2 linked regions of the Canis lupus familiaris genome follow. The protein of the gene in region 1 interacts with the protein of each later gene in a pairwise test. Links are inferred from orthologs where the notes say so. Each region holds a gene or a part of one and is shown on either strand. Other genes may lie near its edges.

Region 1 (15,162 bases):
AGCGCATCTATTTAAAGTGTTGGTTTAGTTGCTGGCTTTCGCCTAGTCGGTGGGACCGGGTTGACTCCCCAGAGCTTAGCACAGAGTAGATGCTAGATAAATCTGTGATGAGCGGATGCATAGAGGGGTGGCTGCACCGGCGGGTGCGTAGATGCGCGGGGGTCTCTGCCTCCCCCTCCGTCCCCCCCCACCCCCGTGAACGACGGTCGGCCCGGCCAGGCCCGGGAGCCGCGGCGCCGGGGTCCCTTCCCCGGGCCCCGCCCCAGCCGACCCCACCTTTCCGCGCCGCCCCGCTCCGCCCCGCCGCCCCCTTCCCCGTGGCCCCTCCCCGCGCAGGTCCCGACTCCCGCCGCACCTCCTCCGGCTCTGCAGTGGCGGCGGGGAGGCGAGCCGGAGCGCCAGCGGGGCCGGGGCCGGGGCCGGAGCCGGAGCCGCAGCCGAGCCGGGGTCGGGGCAGCAGCCGGGACCCTCAGAGGCGGGGCCAGTGGGACTGCGATGGGCGTGGAGATCGAGACCATCTCCCCGGGAGACGGTACCGGGCGGCGGAGCCGGGGGAGGAGGAAGGGTCCCGGGGCGGAGCCGGGCGGGCGGGGGTCTGGGTCGGAGGTGGCGCGGAGGGTGAGGACGCGGGGGCGGGCGCAGGGTGGGGCGGCGGGGGAGACCCCAGACTGCACTGTCGGAGCTCTGGCCGACGACCCTCCGCCCCCCTCCCCGCGCCGGCTCACCTAGGGCGTCGGAGGCGGCGGCCGCAGGCGGGGGTCTGGGCCCGCCACCGCCCCGGGGGCCTCGGGCGCCGCCGCCGCCGCGGGAGCCCCTCAGTTGTCTGCCGCTGCTAATTTCCCAGGGCAGGGGTTTGGCTCTGCTCTCCCTGCCCTGCTAGGTGAGCTCCGGGGACCGCTGGAAGGGTTCCCTTCTTGGGGCAACCCGTTTCCAACGCGCCCCCCTGAGGGCCTCGGCTCCCGCGGCCCCCGTGGGCTGGGCGGGGAGACGTTGTGGGGGGACCGAGCCCGTCTGCGAGGAAGAAGCGCTCCCTCCGCCGCCTCTGCATCCTGCTTTATCCTCCCCGCCCCACTCCGCCTCTCCAGCCATCCTGTACACTCCCATGGCTTTCATTACCGTCTGCAAACCGATGGCCTCCAAACTTAAGCCTCCAGCCCAGATCTCCGACCCATTTATCCAGCTGCTGCTCGACCTCTACCTGGATGTCCCATGGAAACCTAATTCAGCGAGTCCAAAACAACTCGAGCTCCTTGTCCTCCCCACGCCCAAGCACTCCTCTGTATTTCCCTTTTCCCTGCCCCCCCCCCCCCCCCCCCCCCCCCCCCGTCAGGAGCGGCACCACTCACTTTCCCCAGCCAGACATCTCTTGTATAATTGGGTCTGGATGTGCAAGGAATAGCTTATTTTAAAAAATTTTAAATGACACTTAATCCAGTCCAGAGCCCCCGTTTCTGCAGAATTTGACAGACAAACTTCATGTGAGACATGTCTGACAACCCCCACCCTCTCTAGGAAATTGGAAGACCTCTTGGTTCTAGGCCACCCTCCTTGTTAAAAGGCAGTGGTCCCTAGAGGTCCCAGTCCCGATCCCTGTCACCCTGCAGGTACAGGCTTCTTTGCCCCCACTGAGAACAATAGTGCTGGGTCCCAGGAAGCATCTCTCTGAGACCTTGTCACACCCCAGGGAAATTGCCATTGAGATCTCCCAGGGAGCTGGAGGCCTCTTCTCTTTTCCCCTGACTCAAAGTAGCCTTTAGAGTTTTCTCTGCTTATCCTCCCTTTCTGGCCAAGGACAAGGGCCATTTTCTTTTGAGGGAGATTAGATTTTTCGAGAAAGCCTGAAAAAACTTTGGCCTTCTGCTTTAACAGTCTAAACCCTTGAGTCAAGAAGGCATAGAAGGGCCAAGCTACTGTATTGTTAGGCTGGGGGCACCATTCTAAGTGAAGCCCCGCAGCAAGTCTGGTAGGACTTGGTCCTTCTGCTGAAATTCTCTAGGCTACATCCGTTTAGCCCCTGCCCTGGTTCAGATGATGGTCTCTCATCAGGCTTTCTGCACATCCTCTACATTGGTCTCCACACATCCAGTCTGACCTCTCTGCCTTCCATCTGGCCTCCCTAACTCACTACCTATTTTCCACACCATAGCCTGAGGAGTCTTTAAAATGCCTATTTTAGGTTCCCATTCCCTTCTGCTCCCCTCTTACCTTATCCCCGTGCCTTGTGCTTTAATGAATCTTCCATTTTCTTCTCAGACAGATAGTAATCTAGCCTGGTCTTACCTTCCACACTAGGGCAGTCTCTTACTACAGCCCCTACCCCCACTACCACCTTTTTCTGTAGCTTCAGCAAGCTTCCTGCAAAGTTGTTAAAACACATCAATCATTCCGCAAATATTTATTGAACATGTACTATGTGCTAGGCCCTGGGGTTAACAGCAGTGAGCCAGACAGGGATCCCACTAGTGCTAGACTCCAGGCCTTTGAATGTGTCATCAGTTCTTCCCAGATTATCTCCTTTAACTTCCTCTGGCAAACTAGTCATCTCTTAAGATCTGGTTTAACCTTATCTCCTCTCTGATGCTTTCCTGGACTCCCACAGAGTCCTCTACATGTTGGCTCACTTGTTTGCCTCCCAAAGATTTGTTATCCAGGCCTGTGGCTTTAAATTCCACCCAGATTTATACCTCCAGTGCAGACCCTCCATCTGCCTACTTGCAATATAAACTCAGATGTCTAATAGGCATTTCAAGACTGCCAACTGCTCAAATCTGCTCCTCCCCAGTCTTCCCCACCTGGAATTAGTTCGTTCCACCATACGTCCAATTGCCCAAACTGAAAACCCAAGCATTGTACTTGATTTCTCCTTGTCCCTCCTCCTGGACCCCATCTCCGTTCCATTAGTGTACTCTGTCAGCCCCGTTTCCCAAACGTATCTATTTTGCTCTCTTCTCTGCTGCCACCACGTTAATTCAAGCCATAATTGATTTCCTGTCTGGATTATTGCAACAGGCGCCTAATCGTCCATCCTACAGGCAGCAGCCAGAGTGATCTTATAAAATCTTAATTCAGATTATGTCATCCTTTTGCTTAAAACTCTCCAGTGCCTTCCTATTGCGCTTGGAGTTAAATCTAGCTCCACGATGTCCAATGTCTGGCATGATCTGCATGATCCTGCTCTTTCCTACTTGTCTCCTTCTCCCTCCCTTCTTTCCAGTCACCCAGCTTTCTTCTTTCTATTCTGCAAATGCTCCAATCCATTCCTACCTCAAGGTCTATGCACTTGCAGCTGCCTCTTCCTGCAGTGCTTTTCCCAGCATTTTGCTCATCCTTCAAGATCCAGCCCAAATGTCACCTTTTTTTTTGGAGGCCATCCTGGATGGTCCTTTCTAAAGTGGTCTGTCCATTGTGTCTCTCTCCCTTATTCTCTCTTTTTAAAGACTTAATTTATTTATTTGACAGAGAGAGAGAGAGAGAGCATGAGTGTGAGCGCATGGGGTGGAGTGGGGGTTGGGGATGGCAGAGGGAGAAGCAGACTCCCCGATGAGCAGAGAGCCTGATGATGTGGGACTCAATCTCAGGACCCGGGATCATGACCTGAGCCCAAGGCAGATGCTTAACCAACTGAGCCTCCCGGGCGCCCTCATTTTTTTTTTTTTTTAAAGATTTTATTTATTTATTCATGATAGTCACACAGAGAGAGAGAGAGAGAGAGGCAGAGACACAGGCAGAGGGAGAAGCAGGCTCCATGCACCGGGAGCCCGACGTGGGATTCGATCCCGGGTCTCCAGGATCGCGCCCTGGGCCAAAGGCAGGCGCCAAACCGCTGCGCCACCCAGGGATCCTCCGGGCGCCCTCATTGTGTGTCTCTCTTTAACTTGTCATTGTGTCTATTTCCTTTAGAGAATTATTATAATTTATAACTGTCTTGTTTATTTGAGTCCTGTTTGTTTCCCTCTATTAGAATGTAACTCCAAAGGAGTAGGTATCTTGTCTGTTTGGTTTACTACTGTAGCCCTGAAGTTAGGCCCAGGCTTTATATATAGTAGGTACTCTGTAAATATTTGTGAATGAGTATGCTTATTAATCCTTGATTGCAGTCATTATCCTGCATTATAATCTATCATTTATTTATGTGTCTCTTTCCCTGACTTCACCATGAGTTCATAGATTGCTCTGTTTCTGGAATCTAGTCCAGTAAATGTTTGTGGAATGGATGAAGGAAAGCAAAAGGAGCAATCAAAGAAAGGAGAATAATGAGGAGAGAGTGGAATTGAGGAACCCAAGGGAATAAAATTCAAATCACATAAAGAGAGGTGAAGTGACTGATCTGGCTCATACAAGGCACAGAGCCAGAACTAGCACCATGGGCATCTCCTTGGTGTGGAGGGGAATGTGGGCCAGACCTCTGGGCTGAATGTCCCAGGTGACTTTTTCCAATACGTTATTCATTCATCTGCCCTCATGTCTCCTTGCAGGAAGGACATTCCCCAAGAAGGGACAGACGTGTGTGGTGCACTACACAGGTAGGCTTTGCTCCCTCAGACTTCACCCAGACCTCCCCCTCCCAAAGAGGTCCCTCTTCTGATACTCCCCTCCAGAGATATTTGCTCCCTGGATCAGGCCCAAACCCTAAGAGAGCCAAGTCTCCCTCTGACCGGCTGTCCCCCACTTCTCAAGTCAGTCTTGTGGGCATGGGAAAGGAGGCTTGCAAGATTACCCCTTCCACACTTGTACCATCCTTGGAGCTAGCCTCTAACTGAGCCAGCCACCTCCATTCTCTTCCCTCTGTTGTGGGCAGCATGGAGCCCGGCCTTCCTGGTTCTGTCTGATATTTAGAAATCCCTTCTTAAAGCTTTGAGAGACTTGATCTTCCCTGCGGACTCCTTTTTACTCCTACAATATTATTAGAGAAGAGGAGGCCCCTGGTCTCCTCAGCATTTCTTTTCTTTTTTCAAAAATAGACTATCCAATTCTCCTACTATTTTTGAGCACCTACTGTGTGCAAGATGCTATGCTGGGCACTGGAGATACACAGATGAATAGAGAGGATTCCTTCCTTCTTTGGGGCTATGAGAAGTGGGGGAGACCAGTGATCCAGAGGCTCTGATGCAGTGTGAGAGCCAGGGCGGGTGGTGGTGACAGCAGTGCCTGTCTCAGGGTACTGTGGGCATTGGAGGAGGGCCCACATCTCGCTGATCCCTCTTGGATGCTCTGTATTGGAAGATCAGGTGGGCTGAGGAACATTCTAGTTGGAGTTCCTGAGGACTGCTGGCAGGAAGATCACGAGCAGGTATTTGTTCCAAGAGGGGCGAGTGCTCTGCCTTGTGACCTGTTTCCCAATGTGGCAAAGTTGGTGACAGCCACTTAGCAGACAGCAAGGCCAGTTTAATTCCTAGGACGTATTCAGATGGGGCCATTTTTAGCAGTTCTCTGGGCCAGTGTGAAGTGCCAGGTTAAATCTAGGCAGACAGTGTGGGTATTTCTCAACAGCTGTGTTGCGGGTCGCTGACGTCAGGGCGCTAGAGCTGTTTTATCTCCCGGTGATGTGGCCTAATTACCATGAGTCCTCTGGGGCCTCTGACCTGTGTAATTGATTTATCTGTTCTACATGTTGTAGACAGACTCGTACTTATCAAGTTACTAAAACCACAACACCCTTTTACAAAGACTTTCATAGTAGATACAGAGAGCAGGCAATGTGCGTTAAACACTAAGAGCCATGAGTGCCTCTGGTTTGGGGAGGGGGATCATCTCATCAAACCCAGCCAGAGACAGTATGGGACTTTTTGGTAAATTTTTAAATTAAATATAAATACAGTAGAGAACAGAAATCCAAGATGTCCAGTTCCATGAAATTTTTCAAAGTGATTACACTTCTGTAACTACCACCCAGATCAACACACTTCCAGAACCTGCAGGCATCTCCCTCATGCCTCCCCCAAGTCATTACACCTCCCTGAAGGTAACCAGCAGTCACATTTTTGTCTCCATTGATTGGCTTGGCCTGTTATTAAATATCATATAAGTGGACTCATAGAGTATGTATTCTTCTGGGTTTGTCTTACTTTACTCAATATTATGTCAGTGAGAGTGGTTTTTTTTTTTTTTTTTTTAAGATTTATTTATTTATTTGGGAGAGAGACAGGGGAGGAGGAGGAAAGGGCAAGGGAAGAGGAAGAGAGAGAATCTTAAAAACAGGCTTCACACCCAGAGCAGAGCCTGACCCAGGGCTCAGTCTCACCTGAGATCACGACCTGAGATCATGACTGTGATCATGACCTGAGCAGAAATCAGGAGTCAGATGTGTAACCACTTAGCCAACTGAGCCACCCAGCCACCCCAGGAATTCTTTATATATTCTGGATATGAGTCTTTTGTTAGCTGTACTGATTCTTTTTTTTTTTTTTAATATATTTTCTTTTTTTTTTTAATTTTTATTTATTTATGATAGTCACAGAGAGAGAGAGGCAGAGACATAGGCAGGGGGAGAAGCAGGCTCCATGCAGGGAGCCCAACGTGGGATTCGATCCCGGGTCTCCAGGATCGCGCCCTGGGCCGAAGGCAGGCGCCAAACCGCTGCGCCACCCAGGGATCCCAGCTGTACTGATTCTAATCACTTTCCATGCCAGGGCTTGTCTTTTTACTCTATTAATGGCATTTTTTTAATAGAAGTTCTTAATTTTAATGAAGTCTTATGTATCGATCTTTTCCCTTATAGTTAGTACTTTTGTGTTCAGCTCAGAAATCTTTGTCTGTCCCTAGATCATGAAGACATTCTTCTGTTTATTATCTTGTAAAGCTTTATTATTTTATTTTTCATATTTAAGTCTGTGATTCCTCTGGAATCGATTTTTGTGTGTGCATAAAATAGGGGTCAAGATTCATTTTTTTTTCTCCATATGGATATGCAATTGACCCAGCAACATTAATTAAAAAAAAAGAAATCATCCTGGGATGCCTTGATGGCTCAGCAGTTGAGTGTCTGCCTTTGGCTCAGGGTGTGATACCAGAGTCCTGGGATCAAGTCCCACATCGGGCTCCCTGTGAGGAGCCTACTTCTCCCTCTGCCTATGTCTCTGCCTCTCTCTCTCTCTCTCTCTCTCTGTGTCTCTCATGAATAAATAAGTAAAATCTTAAAAAAGAAATCCTTTATCTGTTGCAATGCTGTGACACCTTTGTTGAATCAGGTAACCATATATATGTGGGTCTGTTTCTGGGCTGCATGGTTTTGGCTGAACTTGTAGCAGTAGATAACTGTATATGGTCTGAAGTATATTGAGTCATATGAAACCTGAAAAAATTGAGGAATGAGAAAGCCACTCTTCAAAGGGAGTGTGTGTGTGTGCTTATCCATATGTGTGTATTTGTCCAAGTATGTGTCTGTGTGAATGGATGTAGATTCGTGGACTTAAATATTTTCTTAGCATCTGTTTCACCATTAGGATTTTTCTTCTGAATGTGTGTGCATAAGTGCCCGTGAGTATCTCTGTGTGTCTGAATATCTTAGCAACCTGTATTTGTGCATGAGTTTGTATTTGATCTCTTTAGTATCCATCTGTGTAGCCACAGGATTTTCTCCTTTGCTTGATTTCATACCTAGGGCAAGAGTCCAATTCATTATACCCAGAAAGCAAGAAAATGAGACTCTCCCTTATATACATTTAAATGGTAGGAATTAGGAAGTGGAGTCAGAGATGCTCAGACACTAAGCTTATCCAGACCTCCCATGTTAAACATGGCAAATCTGAGGCCATGACAAAGGAAGTGATTTGCCTAACTTTACACAATGACTTTGTGCCAGAATGAAGTCAGAATCCAATCTATAGGCCAGATCTTTCTGTGGTCTCAAACTGCCTTTTGTTGTGGTCTGAGGGCTGCAGGGAGAAATATTTGGAAGACCATTGTTTACAGAAGGTCTGATCTTTGAGCCAATCACCAATAAGAACTAAAAACAGAAACACAGCTCTTGAGCCTTAGGCGGCAAGGATAACACAGGATTTGTACTTCAGAGATGACAAAGCAACTACCCCTGGAAGCTCAGGGATGGTCCCTACTGTTGGAGACAGCATCAGTGTTTCTGGTTCAAACCGGCCCTTTTCCTGGGGTCCACCAATGACTGGGTCACTTCGCTCTGTTCTTTGCAGGAGGGGTGATAAGGCCTTTGGGTTTTATATGTTGGGGGACCTTGTGAAAACCAGTAAAGGTTGTACAGTGCAGAGGTATTTGAGAAAGGTGTGACCTGAATAGGACATGGTGGGAAGGAAAGGCAAGGGAGAGCAGAGAGAGGTTATCAGGCAGGCAGTCTCCAGGTCTTGAAGTACAGTGTAGGCATTTGGAAGCTGCCACAGGGAGCTATTGACGTATTGTAAGCAAGGGAGTAATATCCTATATATGTTTGTAAAAGACAGTCATTCTGGGTATAGTGTGGAGACTGGAATGGAGGAGTGAGAGTGAAGTAGAAAGACCAGTTAGAGGGCGTTCCTTATGCAGGTGAGACATGATGGTGACATGGTACAGTCACAGGCCAGTGGCAGTAGAAATGGAGGAGGTAGAGAGATGATGAAGGATTTAGTGATAGGCTCTATGTGGGGTAAGGCAGAGAGAAGTATCCGGGTTGCTTGCTTGGGCAACAGAACTGGTGGAGAGATGAGAAGAGGCACTGGTTTGTGCGGAACAGAAATTCCATTTTAGACATGTGGACCCAGACCTGGGAGTTAATTCATGACCACAGCTCTTCTCCATCCTCTTCTTGCTTTCACAGGAATGCTCCAAAATGGGAAGAAATTTGATTCATCCAGAGACAGAAACAAACCTTTCAAGTTCAGAATTGGCAAACAGGAAGTCATCAAGGGTTTTGAAGAGGGTGCAGCCCAGGTAGGATGGGAATTCTAATCATTAGGGGGGATTTGAGGAGTCAAGAGTCCGGACTCGGTACGCTGCTCTTGACCTATCACAGACCGCTGCCACTTTGACTCCACTGCCGGGGCATGGTTACACCATCGAGATTCAGTCCTTGGCTTTGTGCCCCCCACCCCTTCCCTTTCATTGCCAGCATGACCCCTTTAAGTCACTGGGGTCTCTCATTCCATGCACATCCCTCCAGGCCTGCTCAAAACTAGCTTCAGAGGGCTGTGAGCTACCAGCTGTCTGGGACTGACGCAGCAGGAGACTTGGGATGGGGGAGGCCAAGGTGGTTTTTTTTGTTTGTTTTTAACTTAAAAAAAAAAAAAAACCAACAATTTCAGACTTGCAAAAATATCACGGAAATAGTTCCCATATATTCTTTACCCAGTTTCCCCAAATGTTAACATTTTACATAACCATAGTACAATGATCAGGTTACATTAATTTGTGATCAGTTGCACATTAACATGGATACAGTACTATCAAGTGATCCATTCAAATTTTTGAGTTGGTTATTATTCAAAATTTAAAAATCGGTTTATTCAAATCTCACCAGTTGTCCCACAAGCGCCAGGTGTTGTTGATGACTGCTGGGATGAGCCCTGGTTCATGCTCTTCTCCCTTGGTCTCTGAGGACAGACCATGCTCTGTTAGAGTAGCTCTCTTAGCCTTCCCGACCTTGTGATGGCCTCTGATTGCTTCATGTCTTTAATGGACTGCTCTTGTTACCTCCTGGAAAGTGTACAGTACATGCGCTCTCTATACACCCTCTTTAGGTTCTTTTGGAAGAGAGTCAGGAACAATAATGAACAAATCGAAGTGTTGGGGCCATGCGCTAATTGAATAACCAGCAATGGTCGTTGCATGAATGAATTTGGGACTACTTTGTGGATGTTATTGTCCTACAGTGAAGTCTCTGCTGGTCTGAGGCAGAATCTGAGTTCTGCATCACTTCAGTATGAAGTGAACATAGAAAATTCATCTCAGATCTTCAGAGTTACCTTGAGGATGGTTTGGGAAAATGCCATAGTTATCTTACTTTTTTCTTTTAAATCAAGCTGGGTCCTCTTTCTCCTCTTCCCATCTGCCCCCATCCCTGCTAGATGAGCTTGGGGCAGAGGGCGAAGCTGACCTGCACCCCCGATGTGGCGTATGGAGCCACGGGCCACCCTGGTGTCATCCCTCCCAATGCCACCCTCATCTTTGACGTGGAGCTGCTCAACCTAGAGTGAAGGCAGGAAAGAACGCAAGGTGGCTGGAGATGGCTGCTACTCACCCTCCCAGCCTGCTCTGCCACTGGGACGGCTCCTCCTGCTTGGGGCTCTTGATCAGTGCGCTAACGTCACTGCCCCACAGCATCATCCATTCTCTGACCAAGTTGCTCTGTATGTGTTCATCGTTTACGCACATCTTTGCTTGAGGAAACTTTGGTTGCAGATCAAAACATTTCAGGTTGTGCATTTTGCGTGATGCATGTAGTAGCCATTTCTGATCACAGAATACAGATTTCTTGTTCGCACAATCTACACTGCCTTACTTAAGCCAGACACACAAGGTGCTCAGACGTGAAATGTACATGGTATACACAGAGGGACTTGAGCCAGTTACCTTTGCTGTCACTTTCTCTCTTACAAATTCTGTTGGCTGCTGACTTACACAATGTCCTCTTTGGAAATGATATGTAAAATAAAGGCTCTGTGCTTGACAAATTCCTGTCCATCCTTATTATAGGAAGGAAGTGCTTTAAGGACTGCATAAACCAGTTGCCCTTGGGAAGGAGTAGAAAGGAGCCTTCCAAATAGCCAGGAATGATAATAAACATAATAGCTATGATGTGAATTTTGTACATGCTGGGCCTTGTTCAACGTGTTTTTAAATAAAATTGCCACCAACCCCCTAAGCAGCCCTACAAGGTATTAACTTGCCCTTTGCCTCATAGGCTCAGAATTCTCCTCTGAATAACTGAAGGAATATATTGTGTTCAAACCTCATAGCCTAGCAACCCAACATAGGACTTGAGCACTGTATGTGACCTTGCAGTCTCTCTTTGTTTGGACTTAAGAGGGACAAGTTCCTTCACCTCGCCCAGAAGGAAAGGAACACTGTGCCTGGACAAATGAAGTGGGTTAGGTCTTGGAGCCATATACTAACTCACACTGGGAAGTTACTTTTGAAAAGAATGTGTGATTCTGAGTTTGTTTTTATATTTACTACTTAGTTTCATCTAGATTTGCTCTTACACTGGGGTATGATTTCTGAAAAGAATGTATGATTCTGAACTTGTTTATGCATATACTGCTTATTTTCATCTATATTTACTGTAACTTATGGGAATTCCCAGTTAGGTTTTTATTATTATAATTTATTTTTAAGATTTTATTTATTTATTCATGAGAGACACACACACACAGAGGCAGAGACATAGGCAGAGGGAGAAGCAGACTCCATGCAGGGAGCCCAATGTGGGACTCGATCCCGGGACTCCAGGATCACACTCTGAGCCAAAGGTAGAAGCCCAACTGCTGAGCCACCCAGCCATCCCCCTCAGTTAGGTTTTAAAATCAGCCCACTTACTGGTTGTGTGTTTGTCAGAGGAGTCCGGGGCAATGTGGCTAAGATTTTTCTTTTGACATAAGTGAGAAAAGCTCTTAGTCATAGGGTTATTCTATCAGTGAGGATTTGAAATTAAGATTGAGGAGAGGCTGGTAGGTTAGTACTTAGTTTCCCACATAGATTCATTGGTACATGTCCTATGTCATACATATGATATGCGTCCATAACATCTTGGCTACTTATCTACTCCCTTTGTCTCCAGAAAGTCCTGGCCATATTCCTCTGCTGAGGAGTTAAGGAGTAGTGCTTCAAGATGGAGGAAAAGAAATGAGCATCCATAACATCTTGGCTACTTATCTACTCCCTTTGTCTCCAGAAAGTCCTGGCCATATTCCTCTGCTTCAAGATGGAGGAAAAGAAATGAGAATTGGAAGTGCTTTTTCTTTTAATTTTTATTTTTCTAAAAGATTTTATTTATTTATTCATGAGAGACACACACAGAGAGGCAGAGACACAGGCAGAGGGAGAAGCAGGCTCCATGCAGGGAGCCCGGTATGGAACTCAGCCCCAGGACTCCAGGATCACACATGGGGCTGAAGGCAAAGGCAGGCGCTATCCTGAGCCATCCAGGGATCCTCCAGAATTCAAGTTCTTATAACTTAAGTGTAACAGGCCACAAAATTGCCAATTAGAATCTTTAAAGATTTTAAGTAGTTTCTACACCCAGTGTGGGGCTCAGATTTACAACCCTGAGATGGAGTTGCATGCTCTACTGAGCCAGTCAGGTGCCCCCAAATTGGAATTTTTTAATGTTTAAAATATTTTAAAAGATTTGAGAGAGTGCGCTTGTGCACACATGTGCACCAGGGAGGGGCAGAGGAAGAGGGAGAGAAAAACTTAAGCAGACTCCATGCTGAGAGCCAAGCCCAACATGGGTCTTAGTCTCACGACCCTGAGATCATGCATGACCTAGTTGGAAACCAAGAGTTGGACACTCAGCCAATTGCGCCACCCAGGCGCCCCAGACAATTGAAATTTTTAAAACTCAGCCTTAGGTCATGAAATTCAGCTAACAGATGTACTAATCCAAATGATGGGACTGGTCATAATTGTCAGTGGAAGCAATTTCCCCTTGTTATTAACTTAAAACAACTGCACTAGAGCAAGCCAGTCTGCCACTTAGACAAAACACACTAGAAGTCTGTTTTCCTCTTACAAAAAAAGTCTTTTAGAAAATTAGTTTTACATTGGTAAATACCTAAAGGCACAGCATGAATTACACAAATTAATAAGGAATTCATAAAAGCATTCAGAAGAAAAAGCTATGGCTCCTTTATTATCTCCTTGCCCTTCTTAGAAATAGTTCTTTCTAGTCTTACAGTGCTTTCAAAAAGCATGGACATAATAAAGAAGTTCTTCATTTTCAATAGCAGGCTTTGAGAAGACAGTACAAAAAGTATAAAATAGCATATTATTTTAAAGTAAGCATAAAAAAAATAAAGCAAGCATAGATATCAAAGCTAGCATTTAAATAGTAGAACAGATGTTTTTTGTCCATTTAAATGATTCAGTGGTTGTACCCTTCAAATTGATTTTGGGTTATAGTTATATACAAAACAATTGGTCCATGTTTTTTCCATTTGGCCCATGCCTAAACTATAAAAAGAAAATTATAGCTATCTCCTCCAAGCTGCCAGGCTATGATGAATGTGGTAATAACCATACTATTTCAATGCCATGGGAGCGTATGATTATAAGAATAAGCATTAAATATTCTTTTTAAAAATTTTTTTAGCATTAAATATTCTATTTAGGGCAAAGATATACTATGAGCTAAGGACCAAGATATCCATAGACACTTATTACCTAAAGGAAAAGACTGCATAATCCAATCTTAGACTTGTAACAACTTCCACCACTACCCAAGAAGCATGCTCTCAAATTTCTAACAATGTGCTGTCATCTGAATGGCCACTTCTAGAACTGACTTCTATTTTAAGGATGGGGTATTCATATTGACAAAGGTGTTTTGTTAACTGTAAGGCAATTATTATTTAAATATATTGATGTGGTTAATACTGGTTGATGTTACATCAACTTTTTATGTAAACATTTTATTCATCCAACCAATACAATGAGCTTTGGTTTCCTTATCTGCAAAATACCTTCACTGAGTTGTTAACATTCAACAAATGATAGCACTCTAAAAATTTCCCTTGATGGCTAAGCACTAAACTGGACATCAGAGGCATTAAGAATATAAAAAGTTCCCTGCTCTTAAGAAGCATGGTCTCTGTGACCACCTACCACCAATTTTTTTTTTTAAAGATTGTACTTTTGTTTATTGATGAGAGACAGACAGAGAGAGAGAGAGAGAGAGAGAGGCTGAGACATAGGTAGAGGGAGAAGCAGGCTCCATGCAGGTAGCCCAAGGTGGGACTCAATCCTGGGACTCCAGGATCATACCCTGAGCCGAAGGCAGATGCTCAACCACTGAGCCACCCAGGCGTCACTACCACCAAACAATTCTTGATACAGTTCGACTGCTAATTTGTTTTCCGGTATCAAATGAGAGGAAGCTTAAGAGAAAACACTGACATGTTTTACAAAAGCTACAAGTTTTACAAAAAGCTACAAGTTTATTCACATAACATATTTTAAAATGTATCAAAGTTTTAAGTAGGTCCTTTTGAATCTTGAATAAGAAATCACAACATTCAGCATTAATTAAAAACAAGAAAAGGGTGATGGTAGTCATTTATGGGATGTAGTCTAAAATGAAAATGCAGAAAATATTTATTTTGGTGGATCTGTGTTGATGCCATATTTCTCCTTGAGAAGCTTCAACTGTTCTTCCTTCTTCTTTGTGTCCATCTTCTGAAATGCCTGAAATGTGGTAAGCACCAAAGTTAACAGTTACTGATCTATAATCAAATGAATTTTACCAATAGCACTAGCCAGACAAGAATTCCTAGTATACTCTTCCTTTTCCGGTATATTAATTCTTAACATGCTCCCCCTGCAATGAGGACTGTGGCTAATACTTACCCTGTTGGCATTATAGTACAAAACCACCAGGTATCTGTTACAAACATTGAATCCTGAAAGGTGATCACATGCATTCTTGGCATCAAAGATGTCTTCATAGACCACATAAGCTGTTCCTCTAGTTTCAGGTGTGTTCCCCCTGCGGAGTGAAATAAGACTTAATTAAAATACACATTTATTCAAGATAGGAAGGATGCTGGCTGGGTTTGAGGTTGAGTGTTGAGGAGAATAACTACCATGACCTCCAGTGCTTTGATGAAACCTCAGATGTGAGGCCTTCTGGCCAAGCATCTGCGATTTCATATTATTGGAGCATTCCCTGAGGGTTGCAGGTTTCTAGAAGTTTCCTGTGGTCAAACCAAGAAAGGAGGATATGCAGATTTCTACAGAAATGATTCCATGAAAGAGTTTGAGGAGATGAAAAGGCTGGTATCTTCCAGAATGCAAAGTGATTTTGGAATGTAAAGAATTTCTTTGGATTGAGTTCCATGGAAATTTGTCCCTGACCTGTGTTCCTGAACTATGAATGCTGAGCTATGGAATAGTTTCTCTTTATAAATAAACTACTAACAAATCTGTGGAAAAAAATACACATTTACCAGAGCACTGATAGTTAAATAACAGTATTGTCTTTAAAAGACAGTAAGTGAAGTTTAT
Region 2 (15,782 bases), on another chromosome or scaffold:
CTCCACACTCAGTGCGGAGATCCTGAGATCCCTGACCCTGAGATGATGACTTGATCAGAAATGAAGAGTTGGATCCTTAACCAACTGAACCACCCAGGTGCCCTGAGAAGAGATTTTTAACAACTACTTATGAAGAATGAGTATAATAAAAAAAAAATAGAGCCTCTAGGTGGTTGTTAATGCATTTGGGGGATACTATTCTTAGATACGTAGCTAAAATCCAGGGCAATATGGGATGAAGGGCCATGATTCTCAGAAGGGGGTTAGCATTTCTTGTCAGAGTAAACCAAAGCCCAGAAGTGGGCTTTGAATTACTCCTTGGAGGATAAAAGAGATTTTGATAAGATTTTGTGGCCCTAGGTGGCAGAAAAAAGAGAGAGAAAAAAAAAAGACATGGTTGGTTAATGCCTGCATTTTATCTGAGAGACAGTCACTTGGTTTGGAGCCAACACAAAAGAGTACTTGAAAGTAAATATTGAAAGGAATGTGAAAGGCTTTATTGTAGAAGGTCTCAAATGCCAGGCTGAGGGGTTTGAACGTAATATGGTAGGTGTTTGGGAGTCATTCTTCAATGGCTTCAATTCTTACTGTGCAGGGCAGGGACTCGTTGAAAATATTGTTGTAGGAGGTTATTTTGGTGGAGTCTGGAAGATGGTTCATGGTAGAAAAGAGCAAAACCCAAGAAGGCTAGTTACAAAATTAGTGAAATAATTGGGGACATAAAGACAGAATCAGGAATATGTCTTTTACCCATGAAAGGACACTGATGTTGGGGGTGAAGATCAGGGAGTGTCTTAGTCTGCTCTGGCTGCCTTAACAAAATCCCACTAACTGGGTAGGCAGCTTAAGCAATAGAATTTTATTTCTCAAGGTTCTGGATGTGCTCCCAAAGTCTCACTCTGAGGCCTCTTTTGGCTTGTAGGCAGCTGCCAGTTCACTGTGTGCTCACAGGGCCTCTTTTATTGGTCTCGTCTTCTTCTTCTTCTTTTTTTTTTTAAGATCTTATTTATTCATGAGAGGCAGAGAGAGAGAGAGAGAGAGAGAGAGAGAGAGGCAGAGACACAGGCAGAGGGAGAAGCAGGCTCCATGCACCGGGAGCCCGACGTGGGATTCGATCCCGGGTCTCCAGGATCGCGCCCTGGGCCAAAGGCAGGCGCCAAACCGCTGCGCCACCCAGGGATCCCTGGTCTCGTCTTCTTATACAGGCATTAATCCCATTGGGAGGGGCCCCCACTCTCATAACCTGATCCAAACTTACCTCCCAAAGGCCCCACCTACCTACCATCACATCAGGGGTTAGGCTTCAGTGTGTTCAGTGAATTGTAGGGGGCCACAAACATTTGGTCTATAATAGGGACAAACTGAAGCAGGTGTTTAGCTTTTGGATCCTAGTCATGGTACAATAGACCTAGGCAGACCAGGAAGGTCTACCTTGCGGAGTATGTGACAGCCATGATGACCAACTTGTCAAGGCACTGAGCAATTTGCGGGGGCAATGTCTCTGGGGAGCCCATACCTCCTCAGGAACACCTTTTTCACTAAAAAATAAAAGATTAATTAGCAAAGTTTTAGTAAGGTAGGGTCAGACGTCTCTGTGATGTCAAGGGCACTGCTGACTCCAAGAGATAGATCATGTTCATTTTTATCATCTATATGCAGTTCTGTCCTGATCCTGGATACCTGAATGCTAATTATAGTCTGAGATTTCACAATTTTTTTTTTTTTTTTTTAAAGACAGGATTTTTTTTTTTTTAAAGATTTTATTTATTTATTCATGATAGTCACAGAGAGAGAGAGAGAGAGAGAGAGAGAGAGAGGCAGAGACACAGGCAGAGGGAGAAGCAGGCTCCATGCACCGGGAGCCCGACGTGGGATCCGATCCTGGGTCTCCAGGATCGCGCCCTGGGCCAAAGGCAGGCGCCAAACCGCTGCGCCACCCAGGGATCCCAGATTTCACAATTTTTAGCTCAATTTAGGGAACAGATAAGATAGTGATGATAACTTTCAAACCTTGAAAAGTTGATTTCCCTTAAGAACCCAAACTATAGAGGATAAGTTGGATTTTATTTCTGATCACATAATAATCCCTGCTTCCTTCTCCAGAGCCTCATCTGGCATTCTATGAGTTAGCAGGACCCCTACGATTGGCTTGAAATCAGGAATAAATCTCCTGGAGCTGCCAGAGCCTTTTTTTAGTTTGTGTTAGTTCAGACTTTTCTTTTGCTTTCTATGCTGGGATGGGGGAAGGCCAATAGCATGAAATAGTGACAAATTGCTCAGGTCTAGAGACCTCTGACCCTGGTCTCACCACTCAGCAGCTGTGTAATCTCAGTCTTCATTTAGCTTCTACAAACCTTGGTCCCTTTCTCTCTACAATGGCATTCCTGTAAAGATGGGAAAGGCAATAAAAATTTAGTCCCTGGAGCACAGTAAATGCTCAGTATATGAGCCTTTATCACCACTATCATCATCACCATCACCATCATCACCACCATCATCATTGCCATCACCATCATCATTGCCATCACCATCATCACCACTATCACCATCATCATTACCATCATCATTCTGACGCCATTCCTGACCACCTTGCATTAATGCAGCCCCAGAGATTCAGGCTATGCCCTCCGAGGATCTGCTGGAGTTTATTTTTAGTTCAGGTCCACATCAGAACTCTACTATTTTAGGGACACACATAATAAAGATGGAAATAAAATGGACATTTTCTAAAATATTGGCTTGTGAACTTCTAGAACATGATAAGAATAAATGCTGTGAAACCTTCCTCAGGTATTGAAATTGAAATCTGAGTTGAGGGGATCCCTGGATGGCTCAGCGGTTTGGTACCTGCCTTCGGCCCAGGGTGTGATCCTGGAGTCCTAGGATCAAGTCCCACATCGGGCTCCTTGCATGGAGCCTGCTTCTCCCTCTGCCTGTCTCTGCCTCTCTCTCTCTCTCTATGTCTCTCATGAATAAATAAACAAAATCTTAAAAAAAAAAAAAAAAGAAAGAAAATCTGAGTTGATAAGCAATGGGCTTAATCTCCAGATACTGGGGCCTTTCCAGTCCTGCATTTTATAAGGATCTAATGACAATTCCAGATGCTTTCACCTCAGCATTAGGGTCTTTAACTTAGGTGATCTTAACTGAAAGAAGCCAAATTAAAATGATAACACTGAGTATTTTAGCTCATTTTCTGTAGAAATCTTCAGCAAGAAGTTATTTTTTCTAATGCTTATATACATCATTGGTGAGATTAGTAAATTGTAAGCATAAATGAAATATCTTATTCTGTGTTAATGTTTTCTTCTTTAAGGCTGTCTAGAGTCCTGCCAAGTGAACAGTGGCCACTTTGAATTAGTTGACCATAGAAAAATTCTAATTGAAAATAAAAAAAGAAATATATTTTTTCCATCACTTGCAGGATATAACATTGGTCATAAAACACTTTCCAGATTTGGACTAAAATGCATGGAAATACCATTCTCTAAATTATTATTTATTATAATTAATGAAGTCCTAAAATGAGATATTATAGGAAACACATATGTTTCTATAGAGTACAAAGATTTCAATTAAGATGACAAATTTCAGTAACAAAAAAGCAAAATAAACTATTATATGTAATATGCACACAGTAAAAAAGAAACATTTTTATAAGAAATATAAAAAACAGAGATATTAAGAGTGGATGCTTATGAAAATTCTAAATATAATTTTTTTCTATTTTATGAACTATAGTTATGTAGCTGTGAAAATATGTATTTGCCAACTCCTTATAGCTTAAGTATACCATAAGAATTAAAGACATTGAGGGGCACCTGGGTGGTTCAGTCAGTTAAGTGTCTTGATTCTTGATTTCTGTTCAGGTCATGCTCTTGGGATCCTGAGATCAAGCCTGGCATTGGGCTCTGAGTTGAGCATGGAGCCTGCTTAAAGGTTCTCTCTCCTTCACTCTCTGCCTGCCCCTTCCCTGCCCCCAACATGTGCTTGCTTTCTCTCTCTCTAAAAAAATAATAAAGACACTGAACATAAACTTTAAGCTGTAACCAAAACGATTTCTTTTTCTCAATTAAAATTATATTTCAAATGGAGATTAGTTTTCATCCTATTGTTCTATGATATTTTCAGTCAAAACCAATTTTCTATGGTTGTTCACCAGAAGAAACTAGGAAATCATACATGAACTAAACAAACTAAAACAATCAGATTTTTAAAAAAGTTTTTATTTAAATTCCAGTTGGTTATCATACAGTGTTATGTTAGTTCCACGTGTACAATTTAGTGATTCAACACTTCCCTACATCACCCTGTGCTCATAATGACAAGTACCCTCCTTAACCCTCATCACCAATTTCCCCCTATCCCCCACCCACCTCCCCTCTGGGAATCATCAGTTTGTTCTCTAGATAAGAGTCTGTTTCTTGGTTTGCCTCTCTCTCTCCCTCTCTTTTTCCTGATGATCACTTATTTTGTTTCTTAAGTTCCACATGTGAATGAAATCATATGGTATTCGTCTATGACTGACTTATTTGCATAGCATAATACTCCCTAGCTCCATCTATGGCATTACAAAGGGAAGATTTCATTATTTTTTGTGGCTGAATAATAATATTCCTCTGTGTGTGTTTGTGTGCATGTGTACATACCACATCTTCTTTGGGCTGTTTCCATAATTTGGCTATTGTAGATGATGCTGATACAAACATTGGGGAACATGTATCCCTTTGAATTAGTATTTTTATATTCTTTGGGTAGATACTTAATACCATAATTGCTGGATCACAGGTTAGTTCTATTTTTAACTTTTTATGGAAACTCCATACTGTTTTTCAGAGTGCCTATACCAGGTTACACTCCCAGCAACAGTGCATGAGGGTTCCCCTTTCTTCACCTTCGTGCCAACACCTGTTGTTTCTTACGTTGTTGATTTTAGCCATTCTGACAGATGTGAGGTGATATCACATTGTAGTTTTGATTTGTATTTCCCTGATGATGAGTGATGTTGAGCATCTTTTCATGTGTCAAAACAGTTATTAAAAATACTGTAAGCAAAAAACCCCCATAGCTCTTAGTAACTCTAATAGTTTTCTTATAAAAAATTACCTCAATTTTTATACTTATGAAATATAGAAAACATATCAGAGTACCAAAAATAATATCACACTCACATACTCACCATTTGCTGTATTTCCTTCAGTTCTTTTAAAAATAAATAGTGTGATGTATCATTCTCCAACATGTTTTTAAACTTTTAGTGCAGGTTAGAGATCTATAAACCTCATAGTAGTGTATTTTTTGTGTTGAAGTCTACATAAATGGTATGTTTTACAAAAATCCTCTGCTCTGTTTGCTGTTGAAGAATTATTATATGGTGAATATTGAGTACTCAGGCCATTTAGCATTTTATCACCGATGTTGAGAGAATTAAATAAATCATAAATATGACTCTTGTTAGAAAAATGTGTAGCTTACCTAATATGCCAAAACGAAAAACTAGTAAACTAGAGTTTTTATATGTTACCCACTGTATGGGTAGAATGGAGTAATTCTCAAACATACATACATTACGTATGTTTGCTTTACACAGTTAAGAAACTATGTCTGTGTGGTTCTGCATAAAATACAGAAAAGCTCAATCTGATATGTCATAAATTTGGAAGATCAAATTATTTAACAAAATTATGAGCCCATTTCAGAATACTGTCGTCCCTCATGGAAGACTCTGATCTTTTGTGAGAACTCTGATTGCTCATTTAGAGGTTCCTAGGAGTAAAAATTCACGTGAATTGTAACGGTTTACTAATTTAGGTGTCATGGATCACTATCCAAGAATATGTCCGGTACTTAGGTAAGAGGACTAGTATCATTAAATAGAACAGAGCATTACTAGCCTTACCAGGGAGGGAAGTATTTATAGTACATTGTTTTTGGTATTAATTCTACCGGAAATATGCAAAATTCACAGAGCAAGTATAAAGTTGATGAAAGCAGCAAGTAAAATGTATGCTGCATAGAACACACGGGTAGATTTTAGGAACTAATTAGATGCGTCAAAACGTGTAAAATAGGTAAGCTGATGCTAAACCTTCATTCTACAGTTTCTTCATCTTTGTGGGGTTGACATTTGGAACTTTGCTTTGCATATACTTATCGTTGAGTATCTTAAGCGAAAGAGCTGTAGACTAGAAACAAGAGATTAGTGCTTTCTTGTCCAAATTGTCTCAGGCCCTGCATTTTGTTAATCACAGCCATTTGTCAAGCGCGGCGTGGTGGACGACACAGATATTGTTATTCATGGTAGGAAGCCCGAATTTCTTCAGAAATAAACGACTTCCTGGTGAGGATAACCGGTACCAGAAGATTCCTGGTGTCGCTCCTCGGCGATTCAAATGTATTTTACCCCTTCTTTATTGCAATTCGTCGTTGATTTGAAGTTTGCACTTCTAATCAAACTCTCTTGTCTGTCTGTCTTGGACCACAGGTGTCCGGCGCAGGGACTCACCGGCTATTCGCGGAACGCATTTGTTAAAAGTTCTGCGCACCGAGCACCGAGCACCGGGCACCGGGCACCGGGCACCGAGCACCGAGCACCGGGCACCGAGCACCGAGCCCCGGGCCCCGAGCAGCGATGACCAGCGCAAGGCGCGGCACGCGGAGGCCAGACGCTGCAGGATGCTCGGTGGGTCAGGAGTAGAGGAAATCCAAGTTCAGAGAGCCGCGTGGCGGGGAACTTGATTCGAGGTGACCCGCTCCGGGTGAGGGACGGCTCTGGCTGCCCTCCGGAGTCCGCGGCACTGGGCGCCCGAGAGCCGCGGCCCCCGCGGGTGGACGCTTCGCCCGAGGGCGCAGCGGGAGCGGGAGGCCGGGTGGGAGGAGCTGCGGGCCGGCGCGGGGGCAGGCGGCGGCTCCCCTCGGCTCCCCTCGGCTCCGTACCCCGCGCAGCCGGTAAGCGGCGCTGGGCCTCGGCTTCGGCGCGCCCGAGCGCGGGGCTGCGGACTACCTGCCGCAGAGGGGAGCCGGCGAGCTCCTCCCCGCGCCCCCGCCCGCCCCGCCCCCGCCGCGCCACCAGCCCGGGCTCCGCGGGCGCCGCGCACTCGCTGGCGGGAGCCGGGGCCGAGCGGTCCGCCGCGGCAGGCAGGGAGCCCGGGCCGGCGCGGCTGGGCTGCGGGGGCGCCCTCCTCCCGCGCGGTGCGGCGCACCGAGGCTCCTGCCGCGGCCGCCCCGCCCGCGCCTCCTCCCCCGCTCTGCAGGCGGGGACCGCCCGGCGCTCGCCCCCGGCAGCCGCGGCCCCCTCCGCCCCCGGCTCGGGGCAGCGCGGCGGCGGCGGCGGGAGGCAGCGCGAGGGGCCGCCACCGGGCTCCGCGGCGCTCGGGAGCCAGCCCCGGCGACAAGGCGCGGAGCCATGGCCGATGGGGGCGAGGGCGAGGACGAGATCCAGTTCCTGCGAACTGTAAGCGGCGCGCACCCCGCACCCCGCACCCCGCACCCCGCTGGCCCCGGGGACGGAGCACCGGCGCGGCGCCCTGCCGGGGCTGGGTGGAGCGGCGGCGGCCGCGGGGGCGGGCGGGGGGCGGGCTGCCCGGGGCTCCGGCGACGCCGGGCGGGGGCGCCTGGAGGGGAGCGGGGAGCGGGGAGCGGGGAGCGGGGAGCGGGGAGGGGAGGGAGCGTGTCGGTGCGCGGGGGGGCGCCGGGGACGGAGCGGGCGGGAGGCGCGCAGCCTGGGCCCCGGGGCGCGGGGGGCCGGCGGGGGACCCGGGAGCCGCGGAGCCCGGAGGAGGGGGCGCCGTGCGGCCTGACCCGCGGCGGGGCTGGCGCCTCCCCGGTGTCCTCGGGGGCGCGGGTGCGGACCGCGTGGGCCGCGGGGCTCGGGGCCGGCGGGGACGCGCGCTGCCCCGGGAATCCCGCCTCGGCGCGGTCCCCGGGCTCGCGGGCTCAGCCCGCGTCGGTCTGGCAGCCCCGGGACTCGCCTGCTTGGCGGGGAGCGCGCGGGGCGGGCGGGCCCCGAGGGGTGCGGGACGCGGCCCCGGCTCCCCGGTGGGCGGCTGCGGAGGGCGGGGGCAGCCCCCAGCGGCGCCGGGGCCGTGGTGCCGCGACCGCGGGGAGACGGAGTGTGTGTCTGCGCGTGTGGACGTGGGTGTGTGCAGTGTGCGTGCGCGCGGGGGCGGCGGGCACGTCGTGAACGTGTCCCCTGAAGGCTGGCTTGTTGCACGCCTTGTGCAGCAGAGCGCGTGCGTGCGTGCGTGTGTAAGGGCAGGCGGGGCAGCGGCCCCGAGTGTCCGCACGGGGGGCGGCAGGGGAGGGTGGGTTCCACAGGAATACGATGTTCTCTCCGCAAGCACCTCTTGGCCCTGCTCCTCCTCTTGCCGGTTTGCTCGGACGCTGCAGATACTTCCCAGGCCGAGGCGTCGCTCACCTCAGAGCTGGGGCCGAGCCTCTTGGCAAAAGAAAATGCTGTGACTTCCTGTTAAGAAGAACCGAGTTAGCATTTGCAGCATCCTTTCCGTCGTTCCTTCTCCTGCACTTGTTTCCTCGCTCGGAAAGATACTTCCTTCCCGGATTCCCCCCACCCCCGCGCGAGGACTGCAGCTTCTGCTGCCACTTCTTTACTAAACAGTGCAAAAGAGATCATTTCCCAATTGCCTCCATGGTGACGACAATTATGAATTTTGAAATCTTACCAGATAGTAACTTTTAGGGGTAAAATAGTGTAGATAATGTATTTGGGAGCTGAACAAGTGAAAATGGTGAATTTGTCCAAAACATTGTAAGTGACCGTTTTTTTCTTTTTGCTCCTCTGATTTTTTCAAAGGTATTCATTTTCACTTAACATCTGGGGGGGTGGGGTGGGCAGAAGAAAGCCTTTGGAAAGGACAAAAATCCAGGGTCCGCCTCCGATGGGGAATGATCTGAACTCTGGCTGCATGTTATGCACCATTACATATGCTGTTCCAAGTACTACTAGCCCAAGATCCAGCTCTGAAGAGCCTGTATGCTAAAACCTTGCTCATGGGGAATGTCATAACCCTACTAGTAATAAGAATTTTTTTTAAGTGAAAAACTTCTATAAGGTTTAAAAAAAATCAGGGGCGCATGAAAATATGTTTCTCCAAACCGTGGGATCTTTTGTTCAGGTGGACAAAATATTTAGTTGCTGTATAATTTTTAAATTCAGTTTCCCTACCCCCAAACTCTATAGGGTTAAAATCAGCTAGAGAATTTTGGAAGGCTTCATGCACTCAAGGGCTTCCTGCAGGCTCAAATGTTCAGCCAAACCTGGTGGAGGTGGTGTTATCAGAATACTTAACAGAGACCAGGGTAATGTGCTTGCTGATGGGGTTCTGCACATATAAAGTAATGTTAGGTCTGTGCCACTCAACAGCTGTCTGTCAGCCTGAACAACACCTTTGATAAGTGGGTCCTGTGTAGAGATCTGGCAGTCCTAGGCTGGGATTTTTCTTTTAGTAAAACATCCGTAGGTTGTGCTGATAATAAATGACCTTGAAGGAAGTGGCATAGTGGAGCAGGGGAATTTTTTTGAGTATAGCTGAACATCTCAAAGGAAAACATGTTTTTTCCTCTAAGTTTGGCAGTTTTATCTGGAAACACTCAGATCCTTTACCAGCTCCTCTGCCTCCTGCCCTTGTTGCTTTCCATTCTGTTTTCTTAACCTGAGAATGTGAATGGCTCAGAATTGGTAAATGGAATTAGTAACAGAGAGAATGTAGTTCTTACAATAAATTAATCTCGTTTTTATTTTTTCTGGAGTGTTCTTGTTTTTGTTTTGTAGTGTGCAATCTTGCAGTCCCGTCATTGTGAATTACTTCTTTTCTTTTTTTGTTTTCAAAGCAAATTGTCCAGGGAGTATTAACAATCTCCATGTTAGATAAAATAGTTTTAAGTTATAAATGAAGCCATTGTATTTTTAAAAAAAGAAAAACAGACATTAGGAGACCTTAATTGTGAAGCTGAGTGATCATTTCATACATCTGATTAGAGCACCTTAAGTATCATCTTGGAGTTTTGCACTGTAGCTCATTGACGCATCCTTGACATCCTGGCTACAGAAAGCTTTTTTCCTTCTTTTTCTAGAAGAGGTTTGTGATCCCTGTTAAAGGAAGCAGAGGTGAAATCTTTTTTTTTTTTCCAGAGGTGAAATCTTTAATGAACTATGTCCATGAGTTATGTCCACTGCTGTGAATTAATTCTTCATTTGTGAAGGGGAATTTTGTCACTGGTTAGTCCGTGCCAGACCCTCTCCCATCTCTTTTCTTTTCCATTATGCAGTTGTGAGTTTGCTGCTATTCCTTCCTTTCAAGTGCTTATGTAGATGAGACAGCTTTGACTCGGGCTCCCCCACCAGCTGGAAGCATTCCCACTCTGATGTGTTTATCTTTTAGAGGAATTGAGAATGTGGACGTGTAAATTCTGGATGTGCTGGGACATAATCCGATCATAAAATGAGCCCTTAGCCCATAATGGATATGTTCACTGTCATATCTCAGCATGCCCATGATTTGGAATGTGTGGTTGATTTTATTTTAAAATTTTCAAAAAAAGTTTTTTTCATTAACTTGTGTGTCAGCGAACTGTAATTTGGTATTTAAAACCATGGATGTTCTTACTTATGATCTCTCTTTTTCAAGAAACCTTACAAAATTTTATAGGAATCCTTAAGAGAACCACGATGTAAAATGACGTTGGGCCCAGGTCGATTTTTCCAAGAAACTTTCTTTTATTTGTGTAGACAAGTTGAGTTACTCTTGGTGTACACTTTGTCATCTAGTTTTTGTACTTAGGCATAGATTGAGATTGAAAACTGGATTATCAGGGGCTGCAAAAATCATGCTGATGGGAATGCTTTAGCTTCCCTCCGGCCTTCCTTTGCAGAACAAACTGTAGATTTTTTCACAGTGTGTGTACATCTTGCTGATAATGATACAGAGCATTTTAGAAAGCAGTCAGCAACTAATAGTAAGCATCATAAAGTATAAATGCCATGCACAACAGTGTAAAATAGATTGGGCCGGAATATTTAACCTTGTTTGTAAAGGTACAGGAAGGTTAATTGTACAAAGTCAGAGACTCAACCGTGTGGAAGTAAGATTAAAACTCAGGTCCTAGGCTTGTGTCCTTTCCAGGAGAGAAGGGCTGCTTCTCAGCCTTTCAAGAATGTTTTAGCTTTACAGCAAACAGGATACCTAATCACTTTTGTCAGCTGTAGGAGTACAAAGGAAAAGACTCTGAGTGAGCTGTGGGAATTTCCACCTTTTGCTCCCTTGATAATGAAGGCGTGAGGAGGAGCTTTAGATAGATATGCACTGTGGTGTTTTTTTCAAGGAATTGATGGAAAGCACACCCACGCTTACATAATCAGACTTTTTTTTTACTTAAAAATTGGTGTGTACACATTCGTGGGAAGGGCAGACTCAAACAATTAGGGCACTGATTTATTTGACATTCAGTCTTACTTATACTTGGGCTTTAGATAAGTGTTTCTATCAAGGCTGAGCTAGCTGAGCAAAGATTGCAACTTCTGGGGACTGTGCCTCCGTAGATAACCCTTGGAGAGAGGAAGAGGCACGTAAACACACATTTGCCTTCTGAAACTGTGACATTCTGGAAATTCGATGAATTCAGAAAAACGTTTGTTGAACACCTTCTGTATGCATGGTGTGATATTTGGTGTTAAGGAAGAATCCAAAAGAAGGAGAGTTGTGGTTTGCAATTATAGTCGCAAAGAAAAGGTTTAGGGGCTGGCATGGAACAATCAGGAGGACAAAACACATGTAAAAATTCTAGGACATTAGGGTAAAAAGAGACCTTTAGAGAATGCCACCTCGTCTACCTCTGTCTCCCTCCCCGCCCATCATTTTGCAGGTAAGGAAACTCAAGCGCAGAGAGCCAAGATGCTTTGGCCCAAGTGTCATACTCCAGATTCGCGGCTGTCTTGGTCACACTGCTAATACCATACATAGCTTGGTGGCCTAAACAGCAAACATTTATTTGTCATTGTCCTGGAGGTCAGGGAGTCCAGGATCAGGGTGGTGGCAGATGCATTGTGTGACTTCTTCCTGGCTTGCAGATGGCCATCTTCTTGTATCCTCATATTGCTGAAAGACAAAAATCATCTCTCCTGTGTTTCTTCTTATAAGGGCACTAATTCTGTTTCGTAAGGGTCCCGGCCTCTTGACCTACTGACCTCCTAAAGGCCCCACTTCCTAGTAGCACCCCACTGGGAGTTCGCATTTCAGTGTATGACTTTTAGGGGATGCAGACATTCAGTCCATGGCATGGAGTAACACAGGAGGCATGAAGAATCTCTGAAGAACTGTCAGGAAGGTCACTCGCAACACCCCATTCTTCCTTATGGGGTAGATTCAAACCCACTGTCCCATTTTATCCTTATCTTCCCCTTCCCAGGGTTCACTGTCCAAATCTGCTCTGTCTTCCCAGCCATTGACCAGGAAGCTTCTTTCCTTCTCGAAAGTTGCAGCTTCTTAGCGTCCTAGACCCCAGGGCTTGCCTCCGGGTCCAGGACTGGACACTCGCAGAACGTGTTCCATCCTCTCTTTGCCTCCCTCAGTACTGGTCCCTTGGTTGATCTTGAAGCACAGTCATTTCTCCTACCTCACAATTTCTGTGTTTGACCCCAGTGCCTCCTTCAGCTGCTCAGCTCTTCCCAGTGTGGTCTCCACCCCTGCTTGTGATTGCCAAGCCTGGCACATTTGGAGTCATTTTTATACTTTCCTGTTCATGCTTCTTGGAATTCTTTTTACTTCTTTTGCTCCAAGATTGCTTATCCCCAAAGATCCTCTCCCATTTCCCGTTCTGTCTCTTCTGCCTTTGTGAGCTCATCTGTGCCGCAAAGCTTGGGATCCTTGGAATGAGAGTTTGAGAAGATGTCATGATGACCTCACCCATCCTATAATTTCTCTGAGAGCCAGAGAAATTATAGGAACTTTCTCGAAGTCCTTCCTTCCTATGGGAGACACCCACCACAGATCTTATAGTCCTCAGCCCCTTATTTCTAGCTGTTGGCGGCCTTTGTTTTGACTCCCTTCCTACCTGTGGATACACCATCCTGAGCTCACGGGTACTCAGTCCCCTGAGTGGCTCTTCATCCCGGTGACTCTGTGTTGGTCAATGGCACTGCCATTTTAGGCTCTGGCCCAAACACACCAGTGTGGCCCTCATCTTTAGAAGCCCTGGGTCTGGGATCCCTGGGTGGCGCAGCGGTTTGGCGCCTGCCTTTGGCCCAGGGCGCGATCCTGGAGACCCGGGATCGAATCCCACATCAGGCTCCCGGTGCATAGGGCCTGCTTCTCCCTCTGCCTGTGTCTCTGCCTCTCTCTCTCTCTGTGTGTGTGACTATCATAAATAAAAATTAAAAAAAAAAAAAAAAGAAAAAAGAAGACCTAGGTCTGAGGCCTTTCTCCACCAGTACCTAGCTTATGTACTTGAGAAAAATTTAAACATTTTTCTTACACCCTAAATATAATATTAGGCATTTCAGAAGGACTTTTGAAGATCATGGGATAGAATTTGTGTGGAAAACCAATTCCAGTGTCTGCCTCATGGTAGATACTCCATGCATTGCTTGAGCTCCTTTATCCTCCTCCTGTAGCTCATTTGGCATCTTCTCCTGTGCTGTTTTCCTTGGCCTCTAGCTCAGATTTTGATTTCTTTCATACCCCATTACTTGTTCTGACCTCCATCGTCCCTCGGCCCCAACCAGCCACTAGCAAAGTGCCTTGAAGCCTCCTGCCATTTGAATCCTCCTAAAACCCCATGTTCATGCCACCACTCCTTGGTTCCCTATTCCTGTCTTATCCATTGTAACCCCTCTGCTTGGCTCATGACCATCTGTAATCTGATTTTTGATAACCTTACTTACGTTCCCCATCCTGCTGGAGCTTTTGGATTGCTCCAACCAGTTCTGATTTTACCTCTCTGAGACCATTTCTCAAGCGCCCCAGTTCCACACATTTTATCACTTATCCACGGCCCTGATTTGGGTCCCCTGATGCTCTGTGGGAGGGTTGCCACCGTGTTGGTGTGGGGGGAGGCATTCATTTCCCATGATGCATAGCACAGCATTGCCTACAAGGATAGGTTTGAGGGGAGTAGTATGGTGATGGAAGACCAGGATAAGAGAAAGGTTACCCCCCGCCCCCTACTCCCTCAATTAAATGTGAAAACCATGTGAATGTGTTCAAGTGCAGAAAGAAGGAATCTGTGATGAAGGAAGTAGGCAAAGGGTGTGGGCGAAAGAGTGTTAGTGAGATCCCTCCTAGAGGCAGGAGAGTAGGAGGTAGGTGGTTAGGCTTGAGAGGAGGAGAGAGGAGGTGTGGGGATGAGACAGGCTGGCTTGGTTGGCTGTGTGAGGGCTGCAGGGGACCCTGGGCCAGCTGGGGAGGGCAGCTAGTGCCAGGCATGTGAAGAACATCTGAGAGAGGGAAGTTATTAAGACAAGTGACCTAAGGAGAGAAAGAGTAAATGAAGGCTTTAGGAAGTCTGAGTGATTGGGGCTGCCCAAGAGAGACACTGAGTCCCTGTCGGGATTTGTATTTCAAGTGAGAAGCTTCTAGATAGTGAGGTAACTTCCAGGGCATTGCAGCGGCATCCATTGCAACACTTATTTTCATCACTGTTAATCATGGGAAGAACACTGGAACATGAGGGGTTGTGTGACTTTGGGGTCGGAGGTGTCCTATAAAAACTCTGGGAAAGATTGAGCTGGAACTTAGCTCTGAGGGGCCCTCTGAGTTTGTTTCACATTTGCTAAGAGTTGTGAGGGTCAACCAAACTCAAACCATGTAGAAGGATGAGAATAAGGAAAAAATATTGCCCTTGTGTTAGAAGTGTATATTTTTTTTTGGGGGGGGGTCTCTGAAAATTCTTATCCTGGTAGATCACAGGATTAGTCAGTAACTAAACTCCTGGAGAACTTCTTTGCTTGTGTTCTCTACTGTCTTAACTTCAAAGGCCTTCCCTGGCTTCCTGTTACTTGGGTCAATGAACAAGTATTTTTGGGGTTTCCTAAAACATTCTAGTTGGCCTCAAAGCCCAGACAGAAGGTGGATTTCCTGGTTCCTGTGGCCCAGTAAAAGTTCTGTAGTGAGGTTTTTGGCAATGAAACAAATCGGGAGTTTTCATCACTGCCACTAACTTGGAGTGTTCAGAGGACCTGCCTCTAATTGCTTCCAAGCTCACTCACCCAACAGGGTTCTCCCCAGGGTAAGGGACTGAGAGAGCCAGAGCCACTGGCTGCTCCCAGTGAGACCTCCGCTTAGTGGCTGGGTGAGGGTGTCTGCTGTCACCCAACCGTTGATGAGTATTGGCCGGTTTACCTGAAGACCGCCTCCCATCTAGCTGGGGAGTGACGTGGATGCAGGGCAAGGGGACTAAAAGAGCAGAAAGTGCTATCGGAGGTTGTGGGACAATGGTGCCTTGCTGGGTCTGAGTGTCCGGGAGTGCTGTGAGTACACACCTCACACGCTTCTTAATGGGCATGGGGAATTCATGTGGGATTGCTGAGCCGGTGACACAGCCTCACACACCCCCATCAGCACAGCTGGAGGACCAGCTCAGCGTGGCCGGTTTATTTTTTTCTACCACAGCAAACACTTTTTTTTCATTACAAAAGTTTATGATTCAGAAAACTTCTTGCACGCTTTTTCCACTTATGACGAAATTTTAAAATATTTTATTTCCCTCTGAATTTAGAATCTGTCTTTGAATGTTCGCGTGAACCCATGAATTTCATTTGCAATTTAACA

What was found.
Region 2: the proteins of FKBP1B (region 1) and RYR2 interact in binary tests that used the Homo sapiens proteins (3 or more experiments, as listed by UniProt). The link is inferred for Canis lupus familiaris from reciprocal best matches to the Homo sapiens genes FKBP1B and RYR2.

Annotation. Positions count from the first base shown.
Region 1 is NC_049238.1:18,595,586-18,610,747, forward strand, and holds FKBP1B (peptidyl-prolyl cis-trans isomerase FKBP1B), read left to right. Parts: upstream 1-369; 5' UTR 370-495; coding exon 496-532; intron 533-4,475; coding exon 4,476-4,523; intron 4,524-8,761; coding exon 8,762-8,874; intron 8,875-9,962; coding exon of another isoform or gene 9,963-10,007; coding exon 10,008-10,136; 3' UTR 10,137-10,613; downstream 10,614-15,162. Other genes in the region: SF3B6 (splicing factor 3B subunit 6), read right to left, coding at 14,254-14,343, 14,506-14,644. UniProt on the Homo sapiens protein: Has the potential to contribute to the immunosuppressive and toxic effects of FK506 and rapamycin. PPIases accelerate the folding of proteins. It catalyzes the cis-trans isomerization of proline imidic peptide bonds in oligopeptides.
Region 2 is NC_049225.1:3,462,218-3,477,999, reverse strand, and holds the start of RYR2 (ryanodine receptor 2), read left to right. Parts: upstream 1-7,336; 5' UTR 7,337-7,405; coding exon 7,406-7,453; intron 7,454-15,782. UniProt on the Homo sapiens protein: Cytosolic calcium-activated calcium channel that mediates the release of Ca(2+) from the sarcoplasmic reticulum into the cytosol and thereby plays a key role in triggering cardiac muscle contraction. Aberrant channel activation can lead to cardiac arrhythmia.